2 linked regions of the Elephas maximus indicus genome follow. The protein of the gene in region 1 interacts with the protein of each later gene in a biochemical or structural test. Links are inferred from orthologs where the notes say so. Each region holds a gene or a part of one and is shown in the gene's direction. Other genes may lie near its edges.

The links. The genes of interacting proteins can lie anywhere in the genome.
Region 2: the proteins of CUL3 (region 1) and UBE2M form a complex in vitro, tested with the Homo sapiens proteins (2 studies listed by BioGRID, with this or other methods). The link is inferred for Elephas maximus indicus from reciprocal best matches to the Homo sapiens genes CUL3 and UBE2M.

The regions. Positions count from the first base shown.
Region 1 is NC_064824.1:123,855,207-123,862,243, reverse strand, and holds the start of CUL3 (cullin-3), read left to right. Parts: upstream 1-3,958; 5' UTR 3,959-4,021; coding exon 4,022-4,087; intron 4,088-7,037. UniProt on the Homo sapiens protein: Core component of multiple cullin-RING-based BCR (BTB-CUL3-RBX1) E3 ubiquitin-protein ligase complexes which mediate the ubiquitination and subsequent proteasomal degradation of target proteins.
Region 2 is NC_064829.1:87,254,307-87,261,682, forward strand, and holds UBE2M (NEDD8-conjugating enzyme Ubc12), read left to right. Parts: upstream 1-4,355; 5' UTR 4,356-4,428; coding exon 4,429-4,537; intron 4,538-5,527; coding exon 5,528-5,622; intron 5,623-5,754; coding exon 5,755-5,793; intron 5,794-5,906; coding exon 5,907-6,010; intron 6,011-6,306; coding exon 6,307-6,370; intron 6,371-6,462; coding exon 6,463-6,603; 3' UTR 6,604-7,017; downstream 7,018-7,376. Other genes in the region: MZF1 (myeloid zinc finger 1), read left to right, coding at 1-1,130.

The DNA.
Region 1 (7,037 bases):
TTTAATATATTCAAGTGTCTGTGATTATGTTATTAATGAGGCACTCCTATTTCTCTCCAAGAACATGTGATCTTGCAAAGGACATACGTATCTACTAACCTAAATATATACAAATCCACGTCTAAAAGCTTACTAAAAAAAGCCCCAAACCCATTGACGTCTAGCCGATTCTGACTCATAGTGACCCTATAGTACTACCCATAGGGTTTCCAAGGAGTGGTTGGTGGATTCAAACTGCTGACCTTTTGGTTAGCTGCCAAACTCTTAACCACTGTGCTACCAGGGCTCCCTAATAGCCTACAATACTTATTAATTGCCTAGTGGGGACAAGGAAAAAAGTAGGTTTATAGCCTGACTTCTAAGAAACTAATAATATCTATAAAACTTCCCTTTCAATTTGAAAAACATATATCTTTCCCTAACACAGTCTTTGTCTATTCAAAACCATTGAATGGGTCTTTCTAATTGAATTGGTAGGCTGTCAACTGTTTTAATAACGTATATCTGCACAATCAAATCAGGTGTGATACAGTGATTAAAGGAGCTTGGTATACCTCGAAGCTTATGTCTAAGTAATGGCTATTCCCTTTCATGGGTTATTCGCAGCCCCTACTACCCATTTACAGACTGGGATGTAGAAAAGGCTTGGTACGCAGAGCCTCCAGACCTCTCTGACTACACGTGCTCTCTAAGAATAATGGAAATGAGGCCACCGTTTTCCCTGTGTCAGGCAGTGGTCAGCGTAAGTAGGAATACCAACTGGCAGGCATACAAAATCTAAATGCTTTCCCTGCTGGATCAGGTGGCAGTTTGCAGTAAAACTAATATCCTGAACATTCATTTGCTATTTGCAAGTCAGGGAATACTTGAGAGGATGTTTCATACACGTGTTGAGGATGCTGCTTTCCTAGGAAGAAAAATCTCTGACTTTTGGACTAGAGTGTATAGAAAGTCGTTACCAAATTTTACTCGGGTCTGTGGTGTGGTTTCCAAATTTCGAGATGTAAATAAGGACTCTATATTCTATGATGACAGGCTCCGTGATGACTTATTCGCTTTAGTGCCTGCCATATAGTATCCATTCAATAAATACTTCTTGAATAAATAAATGAATAAATGAATAAGTAGTGGGTTTTCTTAATGGCAGTGGCAGTATTATCCTCTCATTTTGAAGAACTTCTCTGGCTCTAACCAAAAACACAGTTGACAGTGACTCTTTTAAATGCCGCTGAACTTTGCTTAAGCAAAACCAACATATGAAAATATGGATTCGCAAAACAAACAAATTAAAGGATGATTATATGCTTTCCAATTAAGTGGAAATATGCCTTAATGCAATAGATTCCTAAATGCTGGCCTGTAATGAACTTTTCTCAGGTTCATAGTGAACGAAAAAAAAAAAAAAATCAGGGTTATTTATTGTTTCTCTTTAATAAAGTGAGGGGGATCATCTTTGGCAGTTTTTCCTTTTTAATGCCCTTACTTGCCAAAATAAAGTTGCCAACCCTGTATCGGCTCCCCAGTTTTCTGAAAAGTATTTTATTGGTTGATGAAATCTTGGGAGATAAATTTTAAAATATGATTCATTTTGCAATAGCATACAAGTTTTTTTTTTTTAAACCTACATATTGAATAAAGATAAACCATTATCTGTGGGTATAAACTTGGCCTTGATGCCCATGATCATAGTAGTCAACAAGTGTCCAGAGGGTACTGTGTGGTGAGCATTGCTCTCAGGCCTTTCTAAAATGCCTCAACTCATTTAAATCTCTTATCAGCCCAACTAGGAGGTACTATTATATCCTCCTTTTACAAATGAGGAATTCTAGGCACAAACAAGTCAAGCTCTTGCCCCCAAAACCATGTAACTTAGCTAGTAAAGGGGCAAAGTAGGAATTCAAACCAAAGACTCCAGAACATATATTCTTTTATTACAAAGAAATTGAGCCATAACAGTACAACCAATAGAAAAGCATTGGTTGTTATTGTATTCTATTGACTATGGAAATGAGTTTCTATTAGCACACAGATTATAAACTCCTAATGAAGACTCCTATTATCATATGTTAATGCAGAGCCTTTCCCAATCTTCGCTTATTGTCCCAGTTCTTGATGACCTATTTTTAGCTTCAGTATTTACAGATATTGCCTCAAGCAACATTCTCATTTATGTTTTGATGAGTAAGATCAAAAAAACAAAAACAAGAAAATATATTTTCAGTGTGGCAGGTCAACCAAGTAAGGGCTGAAAGCACAACACTCATAAATTCAGTCACCAGGATTAAGTTAATTTAGGGCAATTTAACCTAATATTAAATAAAAAAGTATATTTGAATTCACCTAATAAATTTGGCCTAAAAAAAAATTAAAACCTCAGCTCCCAAATGTCGATACACGTGCCAACAATAGTTTCTCATTTAAAATGTGAAGATAAAAAAATTCAGTGGAAACTCACACATTCCCCTGAAGAGTCTGAAACCTAACTATAACACTTGGGCAAGCATTTAAAATCAGGAAACTCATAGTAAATGAAAAGCAAAACTTATGAGTCAAATTAAATGTTTTGAGTATAAAAACTTTGGAATTTAAGGCAGACTGAATTAAAACAATAATGGTTTTAAAAACCTACAATGATCCTAGTGATGGTAAAAATGATTTGGCACGTTCAAGATGGGTTTCTATCATTCCATCTTCCTTCTATTTAATGTCGTTTACCAAATATTGCACTACATTAAGGGAGTTGTCATTTTATTTCAATGGTAATCGGAAAACAGGTTTTAACACTAATAAACCCTGGGTCCCCAGAAAAATCTCAGTGGATCAAGAGGTCCTGGAGCTTTTGCAACTTAAGCAAACTCTGGATTAACATCTCCACTCTTTGACCTGAGATCTGGGGTGTGCACATATTGCCCAAAAACCTTGTTAAGCATACAGGGCCCTGATTTCCGACACTGCAGGTAACTCCTGCACAAACTCTTCTTTCAACTTTTAAGTCTCTATTCAAGACTCGACGGCAATGGGTTTGGACCCATCCCTAGTCCTCATGCCCTAGAAAGACACAAGAACCAGTTCTAGGACATAGCTATCCACTTTGCACCACACGCTGCTCCCAGATACTGGCCTCCTGCCGCCCCAGCCCAGCCCAGCCCAGCCCAGCCCAGCCAGCGAAACCCAGCCCAACCGCATCTAGCCCCACAGTCCTATTCTGGCTCGCCGAGTTTCCCCCGCCCACTTCGCTCACGTGACCAGGACTCCCCGCCCCCCCGACCACGCGCCCCTTTCCACGCTCCACCAATCAGCAACGTCCTGCTCAGAACCAGGGCTCCGACGCTCGAGTTTCGAGAAGGCAGCACAGTCTTCCCGCCCTCAGCCCCGCCCCTCTCCTCCTCCCCATCTCGCTGGCCCCGCCCACTTCCCCCAACTCTCCGTTTCCCTACTCCCGCCTCTCTGTCCCCGCCCACTCCCGGGCTTCGCCCCGCCCCACCAAAGGCCGCGCGCGCTAGCCTCCTTCTCGCGAGAACTGACGTCCCCGCCGCGGCCGCCCGCGTCCCTTTCCCGTCCTCCCACCCCCCTCCCCCCAATCTCTCCACTCTCCGGCTCTCCTCCCTCCCTCCTCCCCCCTCCACCCTCTGGGCCGGATCTCGTCTCGCTGAGGCGGAGGAGGAGAAGGAGGAGGAGGAGGACGTTCGGCCTGCGCAGTGAGATGTTTGTCCGTCGCCGCCGCCGCCGCCATCGCGGAGGAGCGCGATAAAGGGTGCTGAGCCGGGTGTGAGGGGGACCCCGCGGAGCCTCCGCGCTAGCGCAGCCCCGCAGCCGAGACCGAGCCGCCGAGCCCGAGCCGCCGCCGCCGCCCCCGCCGCTGCGGCCGCCCACGGGCCGGCCAGCTCCCCCAGCCCAGCCCGGGGGCCGCGCCGCCGCCGCCCCCAGCGTCGCCCCTCGCCCGCCCGCCCGCCCGCCTTAAATGTGACACCGGCGCCTCGGAGCGCGACCTGAAGCCACTGCCGGGGAGGGGACGAGCACCATGTCGAATCTGAGCAAAGGCACGGGCAGCCGGAAGGACACCAAGATGCGGATCCGGGCCTTTCCGGTGAGTCTCTAGTCGGCGCCCGGGACCCCGGGGGCCCGGCCGTGAGCCGCACGCGAGGCCCGGGCTGAACTCCCCCAACAGGCCGCAGGCCCGGCCTCCCCTCCCCCACGCCTCTGGCCGCGGGGCGCGAGCCTGCCGGCAACCGGGCGGCAAGGGGACCGGCGCGGCCGCCTCCCACCCCGCGCCCCGCAGCTGGGACTCCCGCGGGCCCGCGGGCGTTGGCTGCGGCCGGAGCCCCTCGCTGGTCCCCACACCTTTCCGCGTTGCTGGGGTGTAGGCCCTATCCCCTGCACTCGTCTTCCGACTCGGTACCCGGGACCCCGAGTCCTGCAGGGATGGGAACTGGCGAAGTCTTCCTTGTGTGTGGGGTGTGTGTAACTTTTCACGTGGGGTTTCGCTGCGGCTTAAAAAATCACCCAGCCCAAATGACGGCCAAGCATTTAGGGTGATGAAGGGGACTGTTTCTCTCTCTCTCTCTCCCGGCCTCCTTAGGCAGGGTTATGCCTTCAACCTGCCACCGACGCAGTGACAGTGGTTCCACGTAATACACAATGGTAATAGCCTAATAGAATGGGCTGTATTGATAGCATCTTTCATCCCATAAGCTTCCAAAGCACCTCACAAACTCTGCTGTAGGAATTGCCTCACCAAGGAGATGCAAGAGAAAACAAATTGGATGGCTCGCCCTTGGTTTCATAGCCTTGGAAGCCCAAGAGAATGAGTATAGTCACCACCCTGAGTTGCTTTACTCTCTTCGTTTTAGTAACAGCAAACCTGCTCGGTTCGAAACTTTTTCTTTTTTGGTGTTGAATCATACGTTTGTTTAGTGTTTAGAACATAACTTTTGATGTCATACCTGATTCATATAGTCAGTGGCAACCGATTAAAATGTATTGCTGTAATAGAGAGACTGGACATAGTTGCTCATGTCGCTACAGTAACAGACATATATCAGGATAGACAAACTAGCAATTGAGCTAGAATTGATTTAAAAACTAGAGAAGGATCTCGGTTTTCCTTAGAACCATAAACACCATGTGGGGAGAAAAGGGGGGGGTACTTGTACTATTATTTAAGTATGCTTTTTTTTTTAAAGTGTACTATTTGCAGCCAGGGAAGACTTATTAATTTTCCTCGTTGCATGAGGAATTTCACCCCACAAAACTTGAGAACCTCTCTGAATTCTTAATTAAAAAAAAAAAGAATACATTTGATGCAAAACGCTGAAATCGCAAGACCATAAATACTACTGTCAATGTGTAGAAAACACTAACGTCAGTGTGTGGAAACTTCTGTCTTTAGGTAAACAAAGGTCGGATAGAAAGACTAGAACTGCCCAATAGAGTTTCCAAGGCTGTAAAAGAGTAGAATATAATGAGGGGAGAATTTGATACTAATTAAAGAGGTTTTGTGATTAAAGAGGTTTTGAATTTTTGAAGTTTTTCCTTGGTACGAGAAACTACATCAGACACTCAGAGATGTTGACAAAGGAGCACTAATGAAGTTCGCTTGCATGTTTTCCCTTATAATGGGGGAAAAGAGCTGGATTTTTGAATGCGTGAGCAAAGTTTTCCTACTAGTTCAGTTCTGACCATTTTAAGCAGCGTTTAGAATATTTGTTTTATACAGCAGGTGTTCTGGGATATGTTTGCTATCTTACATTGCTCATTCTTGAAGACTGAACTCTTCTAATTCATATTTATTGCTAAAATATGGAATAGCTCACGTTTGATGTCAGCTCACTTCTTATGTTAATATTTTTCTGATTACCCAGTTGTCTGTTGTATCTTTATCTATGTGTATAATCAACTCTTTGATCTTTTTAGATTTGTGGGTTCTTACCTATTCCTCCCTCCATTCATTCAGCATATATTTACTGAGTACTGTGTCAGGCTCTGTTCTAGGGTCTTGGAATATAGCAGTATAGCTTTAAAGACCAAGATCCCTGCTTTCTGGAGCATGTATTGTTGAAGGGAAGGAGTGGGAGTGAATTTCATTATTCATTTAGCTGAAGAGTATAATATTATGTGATAGGTTAGCATTTTTTTTTTTTTTTAGCATATAGTACTGGACTGATTTTTTTTTTTTTGGTAGCATTATGGTTATGCACTGAAATAGATCCTTTAAGTCTGTACTTTGTTGCATTGTAAGTTTTTCTAAAATCCTTTAATTAAGTTTGATATTCAGTAAAAAGATTGCTAGTTTTTAAAAGTGCAAGAATTTTCATTACGCTTTAATAAGTATTGACACTATCATTCATAAATAGTTCCCACAGGAAAGAGCTATTCTTTTTTTAATGTAAATTTTTTAGTCATAGTTCCTTGCGCCTTCATTAAGGATAAATGGCTCAGTGGTACCCCATGTCACTGACTTACTCATCCTTTGGTATTTGAGCACTTGTAGATCTTTTTTCTTGTAGGTTAGCAACCTTGACTACGTAACTAGTCGGCATGGCTGTATGGTCAGAAGTAGTAGATGTATTACATTCCATAAAGAAAAAATACTGTGTATGTGTACATATGTATATGTACATAGTTACAATTATAGAATTTTACATGTTTGGATTATATAGTTTCTGTAAGTTAAGGGAGAAACCTTGGTGGCGTAGTGATTAAGCAGTATGGCTGCTGACCGAAACGTCAGCAGTTTGAATCCACCATGCGCTTCTTGGAAACTGTATGGGGCAGTTCTGCTCTGTCCTGTAGGGTCGCTATGAGCCAAAATTGACTTGATAGCAACAGGTTTTTTTTTTTTTTTTTGGTGTAAGCTAAAGGAAGTTGCGGTAATTTACCCAAAGGTCTCAAGTATTCACTTCAGATCATGTTTCACAAAATTGATGTGTAAACAGTATAAAAATAGGTTTTGGGAGCATTTTTTCATTGCAAAATAGAGTGGTGAGTGAACGTACAGGGTATTTTATATTTGTGTAAGCATGCTTCAGGTACAGTCC
Region 2 (7,376 bases), on another chromosome or scaffold:
AGGTGTGCGGCAAGGTGTTCAGCCAGCGCAGCAATTTGCTGCGGCACCAGAAGATCCACACAGGCGAGCGGCCGTTCGTGTGCGGTGAGTGCGGCCGCAGCTTCAGCCGCAGCTCACACCTGCTGCGCCACCAGCTCACGCACACCGAGGAGCGGCCGTTCGTATGCAGCGACTGCGGTCGGGGCTTCGTGCGCAGCGCACGCCTGGAGGAGCACCGGCGCGTGCACACGGGCGAGCAGCCCTTCTGCTGCACGGAGTGTGGCCAGAGCTTCCGGCAGCGCTCCAACCTGCTGCAGCATCAGCGCATCCACGGCGACCCCCCAGGCCCCGGCGCCGCGCCCCCTGCACCGCCCAGCGCGCCTGAGCCCCCAGGCCCCTTCCCCTGCAGCGAATGCCGTGAGAGCTTCACGCGGCGCGCCGTGTTGCTAGAGCACCAGGCGGTTCACACAGGCGACAAGTCCTTCGGCTGCGTGGAGTGCGGCGAGCGCTTCGGCCGCCGCTCGGTGCTGCTGCAGCACCGGCGGGTGCATAGCAGCGACCGGCCCTTCGCCTGCGCCGAGTGCGGCCAGAGCTTCCGGCAGCGCTCCAACCTCACACAGCACAGGCGCATCCACACCGGTGAGCGGCCCTTCACCTGCGCGGAGTGCGGCAAGGCTTTCCGCCAGCGACCCACGCTCACACAGCACCTGCGCGTTCACACGGGCGAGAAGCCCTTTGTCTGCCCCGAGTGCGGCCAGCGCTTCAGCCAGCGCCTCAAGCTCACGCGCCACCAGCGTACACACACCGGGGAGAAGCCCTACCACTGCAGCGAGTGTGGCATGGGCTTCACACAGGTCTCCCGGCTCACCGAGCACCAGCGAATCCACACGGGAGAGCGGCCCTTTGCCTGCCCTGAGTGTGGCCAGAGCTTCCGACAGCACGCCAACCTAACGCAGCACCGGCGCATCCACACGGGCGAGCGACCTTATGCCTGCCCGGAGTGCGGCAAGGCCTTCCGTCAGCGGCCCACACTCACACAGCACTTGCGTACCCACTGTCGTGAGAAGCCCTTTGCCTGCCAGGACTGTGGCCGCCGCTTCCACCAGAGTACCAAGTTCATCCAGCACCAGCGTGTCCACAGTGCAGAGTAACCCAGCCCAGCAAGCAGGGCTTGCCTCTCTGCGCATCAGTTCTTCCTCTGTCCATGGGGCAGAACACCTACCTCACAGGATTGCTGTGAGGCCAGCTGTTGCATGGGTACAAGTATAGGCATGAGCTGGCCAGCCCAGTGCCCGGCCCCAGTAGGTGCTCAATAAAGCCAAAAGAAAATTGGGTCCTCTCCACCCACATGGTTCCTCTGAAGGCCACAGCCCCTGAAAAGGTGGAGATGGCTCCTACTGTCACCTTCCCCAACCTGCGTAGACACCCCTGGTACCAGGGCCCCACCTGCAGTTCTAGCTTAGGAAGGGTGAATAGCCCAGAAATAGTGGTGTAGACAGGAAGTGGCAGAGCAGTCCAGCTTCAGCTCTGCCTAGACACCAGCCCTGTCTCCGAAACCCACAGAAGAGGAAATGTAGCATGTGAGCACCTGCAGAGAGTCCGCCACTTCTGGCCTTCATCAGTCTTGGTCCAGTCAGGAGACAAGCTACAAGAAGTGTTTTAACAGGGAATTTCATATGAAGAATACCAGGTATTAGCTTATTGATGGGAAACTGAAAAGGGTTAAAAAAAAAAAAAAAAAACTAAGCTGTTGTGGAGGTAGGAACTACAGGGAGCAGCTGCACTCCTAGGGCTGGAAGAACAAAGGAAAGTATTGTAACTTAGAAGCTTCGATGAGTTCTTCATGGAGCTCAAACTCAGGTCCTTGAGGAGGAGGAGGCACCATGGGCTTAGGATGAGACCCTTGAGGAGGGGGCACTGGTGTGTCTCTAAGGAGTCTGATGAACCTAGTTCTGGGAAGTGTGGAAACAACCTGGCACCAACTCATGTCTCTGGAAGGACCTGCTGCAGCCAGGGGGAAAAGGTATTGCTGGCTGCCTAACGGGGGATGAAGTACCTTCTCCTTTTCTATGCCCTGTAGTGCCCAGACCCTAACAAGGAGCTGCTGGCCAAGAGGGGTGTGTTTGTGGGGCCCCCGCCCTGTGCTGTGACGCCAAGGTGGGCAGATCTGGAGCACAAACGAGGGAACTTAACAGGCAGTCCAGTATTGAAGCCAGGGGACACTGGGGAAGTTCCAGCCATGTTGACCTCACATCTGAGCTCTTTGAGACCTCTGAGGCCCCATCTTCACCCCAGCACTCAGTCTTAGAAATGATGGTTGCGTACTGAGCCTGGGACAATCAGAGGACTAAAGGCTCGGTTGAGAGGCATCAGCCTGGAAGTGCCCTGAAGCCCTGGGGGTGGGGAAATAGACCTTTGGGGGACAACTTAGGCGGCTCCGGACAGCTTTGGGACTCAGCATGGATAACAGAGGAGAAAGGCCTTCAGGGGAGAGCGACAGAAGAGGCAGGTGGGATCAGACCAAGGGCCCAAAGTGGCCAAGAGGTGCCCAGGCACACCTACACCTCCGAGTAGGTGGGGGCGGGAATAGCAAAAGTCCGAGAAAGTGGGGGCGACTCCACCGAGGTGAGGACAGGGAGTCAGTGTGGATGCCACGCCAGGGTTAAGGAGTGTGGGGGCAGCTCCCGAGGTGAGGATAGACAGCAGGGGAGGGGTCCGTGAGCACACCATTCGACCACACCATTCCCCCTCGCCCCCTCGCCCGGGATTGCCCGCGCTAGGTCTCCCACAATGCTCCCGTCGGCGACGTCGCGTCGCGACGGTGACGCACTCCCGAAGCTGCCTTCGGACTCTTGAAGAGCTGAGCGGTCCAGCCTCGGCCACCCACCCCGCCCGGCTCCCAGCACCGGCAGAGCCTCGCGGCGCGTCTAACCCACTAAACGGTTTTCTCGGTGAGCCCGCGGTTGCCGTGGTGACGGCCGGATGTAGCAGAATCTCCTGGCACCATTTCCTCCCGGAAACCCTGGTGGCCTAGTGGTTAAGTGCTATGGCTGTTAACCAAAAGATCCGCAGTGCAAATCCACCAGGCGCTCCTTGGAAACTCTACGGGGCAGTTCTACTCTGTCCTATAGGGTCGCTTTGAGTCGGAATCCACTCGACCGCAGTGGATTAGTGGGTTTCATTTCCTCCGCCCTCTGACGGACGCCGAGCTGTGATTGGAGAGGAGCATGACGCCCCCGTACACAACGCCCCGCCTCTGGCAGCAAGGAAGGGTCGCCAAAGGCCGGAGTGCGCCTGCGCTGGAGATCGAGCCCGCGCCAGCCCCCTCAACTCCCTCGTCCGAGTCCACCCCGGAGTCTTTCCTGACCACCCCTGACGATCTGCATAGTGCTTACCGCTCTCTGCCATAATATATGTTTTATTTGTTAGTTGACCTCAGCTAAAACGTCCATGAGTAGGGGTCTTTTGAGTTTGCGATGGGACACTAAGGGTGCCCAACACCACACCCTCTTGGCAGGGCCCCCAGCCTCACCCAGGCTCTGGTCGGCGCGATCACCTTGTTTATGTGGCATCCGGGAATAGAGACATCGTCTCACCTACACCAGCCGCTCTCTACATGCGTGCAAGCGAAGGTGCTCCACGCTCATGCACAAGTGGGGATGGCCGCACAGCGAGAGAGGCGGCGAGTATCTGCCCCATTCAAACATGGCCGGGGCACCTCCTATCCGGGCCCAAGATTATCTCCGGAACCGTTCGCGGGATCGGAGACCTAGTCTAGGACCCCATGAACGGAAATACCCGAGCCGAGCCGAGCCGAAGGAGCCCGAACTCCAAACTCCACTGAGCAACGCCATTCGCCCGAAGCAGCGGCTGCGCAGGCGCAGCACAGACCGGGCGGAAAGAGCCGAAGCGGGGAGGCGGCGGAAATACCCGAAGTGGATGGGCGCCCGAGGCCGTTGCCGGCCTCCGCTTTGGACCTGCTGCTGCCTGCGAAGCGGAGCCTCCTCCAGGATACGTGCGCCGCCACCGCGGCCGCCGCCTCCTCCTTCACGCCGAACCGCAGCCCCCTCGCGAAAGGAGCGAGTAAGCAAGCACAGCGTCCGCAGCTGCAGCTGGGCCTGAACAGACTTGAGCCGGCGAGGGGGAGGAGGGAGCGGCCTGGTGGGGGCGGAGCCGAGCGCCGCCGAGAACAGCCGAGTCGACCCGAGAACCGCCGAGTCTACCCGAGCGCTCCCGAGGACCAGGACCAGGCCAGAGCCGGACTACGGGAGCCGAGGCGGGCCGCTCGGTGGGCGCGGAGCAGCGCGGCGAGCCGGGCAGACGGCGGCAGCGGCGGAGGAGGCCGCAGCGGCGGGTCTGAGAAGCGGAGGCGGCTCGGGCGGCGGCGGGGGGCCGGGTGGCCGGGGTCCCGGGCCCCGCGGCGGCGGCGACGGAGGCGGCGGCGGCAGGATGATCAAGCTGTTCTCGCTGAAGCAGCAGAAGAAGGAGGAGGAGTCGGCCGGCGGCACCAAGGGCAGCAGCAAGAAGGCGTCGGCGGCGCAGCTGCGGATCCAGAAGGGTAGGGTGTGGGGATCGGGCAATGGGGGGTGGGGACCGGGGGGTCGGAGGTCAGGTTCTAGGGATGGGGTATCAGGAGCTGGGTAATGCAGACACCTGGGGTCGGAGGTCAGAGGTGGGGGGTAGGGTGATCTGGTGGGTGAGAGGTGGGGTGATGCGGTCGTGGGGGCGGTCAGAGATGGGGGCCGGGGATAGATTTATGATATGAGGAAGGCCAAGTGAGGAAGGGTATGAGGGACTCGGGAATCTGAGGGGCAGGGGAGGGAGGGGAGACAGGCGGCTGGGAACTCACAGGTCTGGGACTCAGGCGAGAACCTGAGTTCGGGGTGAGAGAGGGATGGCGGGGGAGATTTAGAGTATCATGTTGGAAACAGTGAGAATCTCGGAGTCAGATGGAGTGGGGTCGGGTTAGGGGTGCCAGGAATTTGTGGGTCTTTGGGGTGACAGATAGATGAGGGAGGGATGATGGAGGCCTCTGACTGTGGTGAGGGAAAATTCAGGGAATTGGAGTGGGGAATCAGGTCTCCTGAGTTTGGCTGGGCATGGGGGGATGGGCAGTGTCCACTGGAGAGAAGTCATGGCTGGGGAACCCGACGTTTGGAGTGGTCAGAGGCTGTTTCAACCTAGGGTGCTGGGGACCGGGGACTTGGGCAGCAGGTGGGTGGGCCGCATGGGGGTGGGTACACTTAGGATCTCAATTGGTGGACTCAAATATTGGAGACTGAAAACATACATAAGAGCAGGGAGTTCAGCCTGGGTCAGGAGCCAGGACTCAAAGCTGCATCTTAAGGTGCACAATTGGGGTATGCTGTGGATCCAGAAGATCCCATCTCTGGGATGAGGGAAGGCCCACCAGCAAGGACAGGACAAGGGTTGGGGGTGTAGGGCTCAGAATGAGGCCCAGGAGTCCACGAGGAGACCATGGGGCCTCTGCTGGCACCTGCCCTGAGTGCCCTCCTCTCTGTCCCCCTTTTCTGCTGCCCAAACCCAGACATAAACGAGCTGAACTTGCCCAAGACCTGTGATATCAACTTTTCAGACCCGGACGATCTCCTCAACTTCAAGCTGGTCATCTGTCCCGATGAGGTGAGGGACCCTATCTGCCTGGGTCCCCTAGACAGACCCTAGGTGGCCCCACCACAGGGAGGGGGACCCAGCCTGTCTGCCAGGCCCATACACAACTGGGCCCTGACGTTTCTTCTTTTCTCCCACTGACAGGGCTTCTACAAAAGTGGGAAGTTTGTGTTCAGTTTTAAGGTGAGTCCCAGGCAGGCAGGGGCAGCAGCTCCCTGGGCTGAGGAGGAGGCGGCTGAGGCGCCAACCAGGCCCTGACAGGCACCTTACCCACCTCTTCTCTCTTCTCCCCCGAGGTGGGTCAGGGTTACCCACATGACCCCCCCAAGGTGAAGTGTGAGACAATGGTCTATCATCCCAACATCGACCTCGAGGGCAATGTCTGCCTCAACATCCTCAGGTAAGGTGCTGACCCCCTGCTGCCCTCCTGTACCCCAGCCCTGCCTCTAGACCTCCCTCATGGGCTCTAGGTCTGTCTCTTTTCCTTCTCTCCTTTAACAGTCTGTGTCCCACTGTCCCTTCCATCTCCACATATTCTTCCTCGTGGCCTGGTTTTTTCCTTGGCCTGTACTCTGCACATTCCCTCCAGCCTCACATCCCCACTCTCCCATGCCCTGTGCCTCATCTGTGGAGTCCCAACAGGGACCACAGCAGCCACCTGCTTAGCAGCCCCTGACCCTGATACTCTGTCCGCAGAGAGGACTGGAAGCCAGTCCTTACGATAAACTCCATAATTTATGGTCTGCAGTATCTCTTCTTGGTGAGTAGGTGCGGGCAAGGCTTGGGGCTGTGGGAGGTTGACCTGGCCCCTCTGCCCCTTCAGCCTGCTGACCCATTCCTTGCTGGCTGCAGGAGCCCAACCCCGAGGACCCACTGAACAAGGAAGCTGCTGAGGTCCTGCAGAACAACCGACGGCTGTTTGAGCAGAATGTGCAGCGCTCTATGCGGGGTGGCTACATCGGCTCCACCTATTTCGAGCGCTGCCTCAAATAGGATTGGCGCCCATCCCACCCCCGCCAGGGCTACCACCCCGGCGTCCCCTGCAAATATTTATTGGGGGCCACAGGTGGGGGATGTGGGGCGGCCGGTGGGGGGTTGTCGCCCACCCTGGCCTTGCCTCCCCTCCCTGCCACCTACCCCTTGTTATTTTTTTTTAACCACCATGTGATTAAGGTCAGCGCTGCCTCCCCCGACCTGCTCAGCGATGGGAAATGAATTGGCTTGTCTAGCCCCCCGCTGGGTGCTGTCCAGCCCCCCACACTGGGCACTGGGATGGGTAGACAAGGGGGTCTGTGTAGCTGGGGCCCCAGCATCCTACCCCTCTGCCACTGGAGGTCCCACCTGGCTATTAAAGGGGAATGTTACTGCATGGCCTCTGTATCTTCTTCGTTCTGTGGGGCGGGAGGGGCAGGTGGGGTCCACCACCAATACCTGGTTGTGGGGCCTTGGCTCAACAGGCCAGTGTGTGGTGGTTATAGATGGCGTTGGGGAACCCTGAGCAGGCCATGCAATGCCTGGGGCAGCCATGGGGAGAGTAGGACCTGAAATTCTTGGGGTGGCTGGGATGAAGCCTATCTTGGGATGAATGAGGGACAGGAGCTGGTGATCACCAGCTGGCCAGCAGAGCTGGCATGGGGCCATGGTGGTAGATATGTGCCACTCCCAGTTCTGCCCCCTTCTACCTTGGTTGAGCTTGTGGGGAGGACCCTGCCTAATGCGACTAGTGCTTGAGACACTGGGGGACTGAGTTTGGCCCTTGGGCTGAT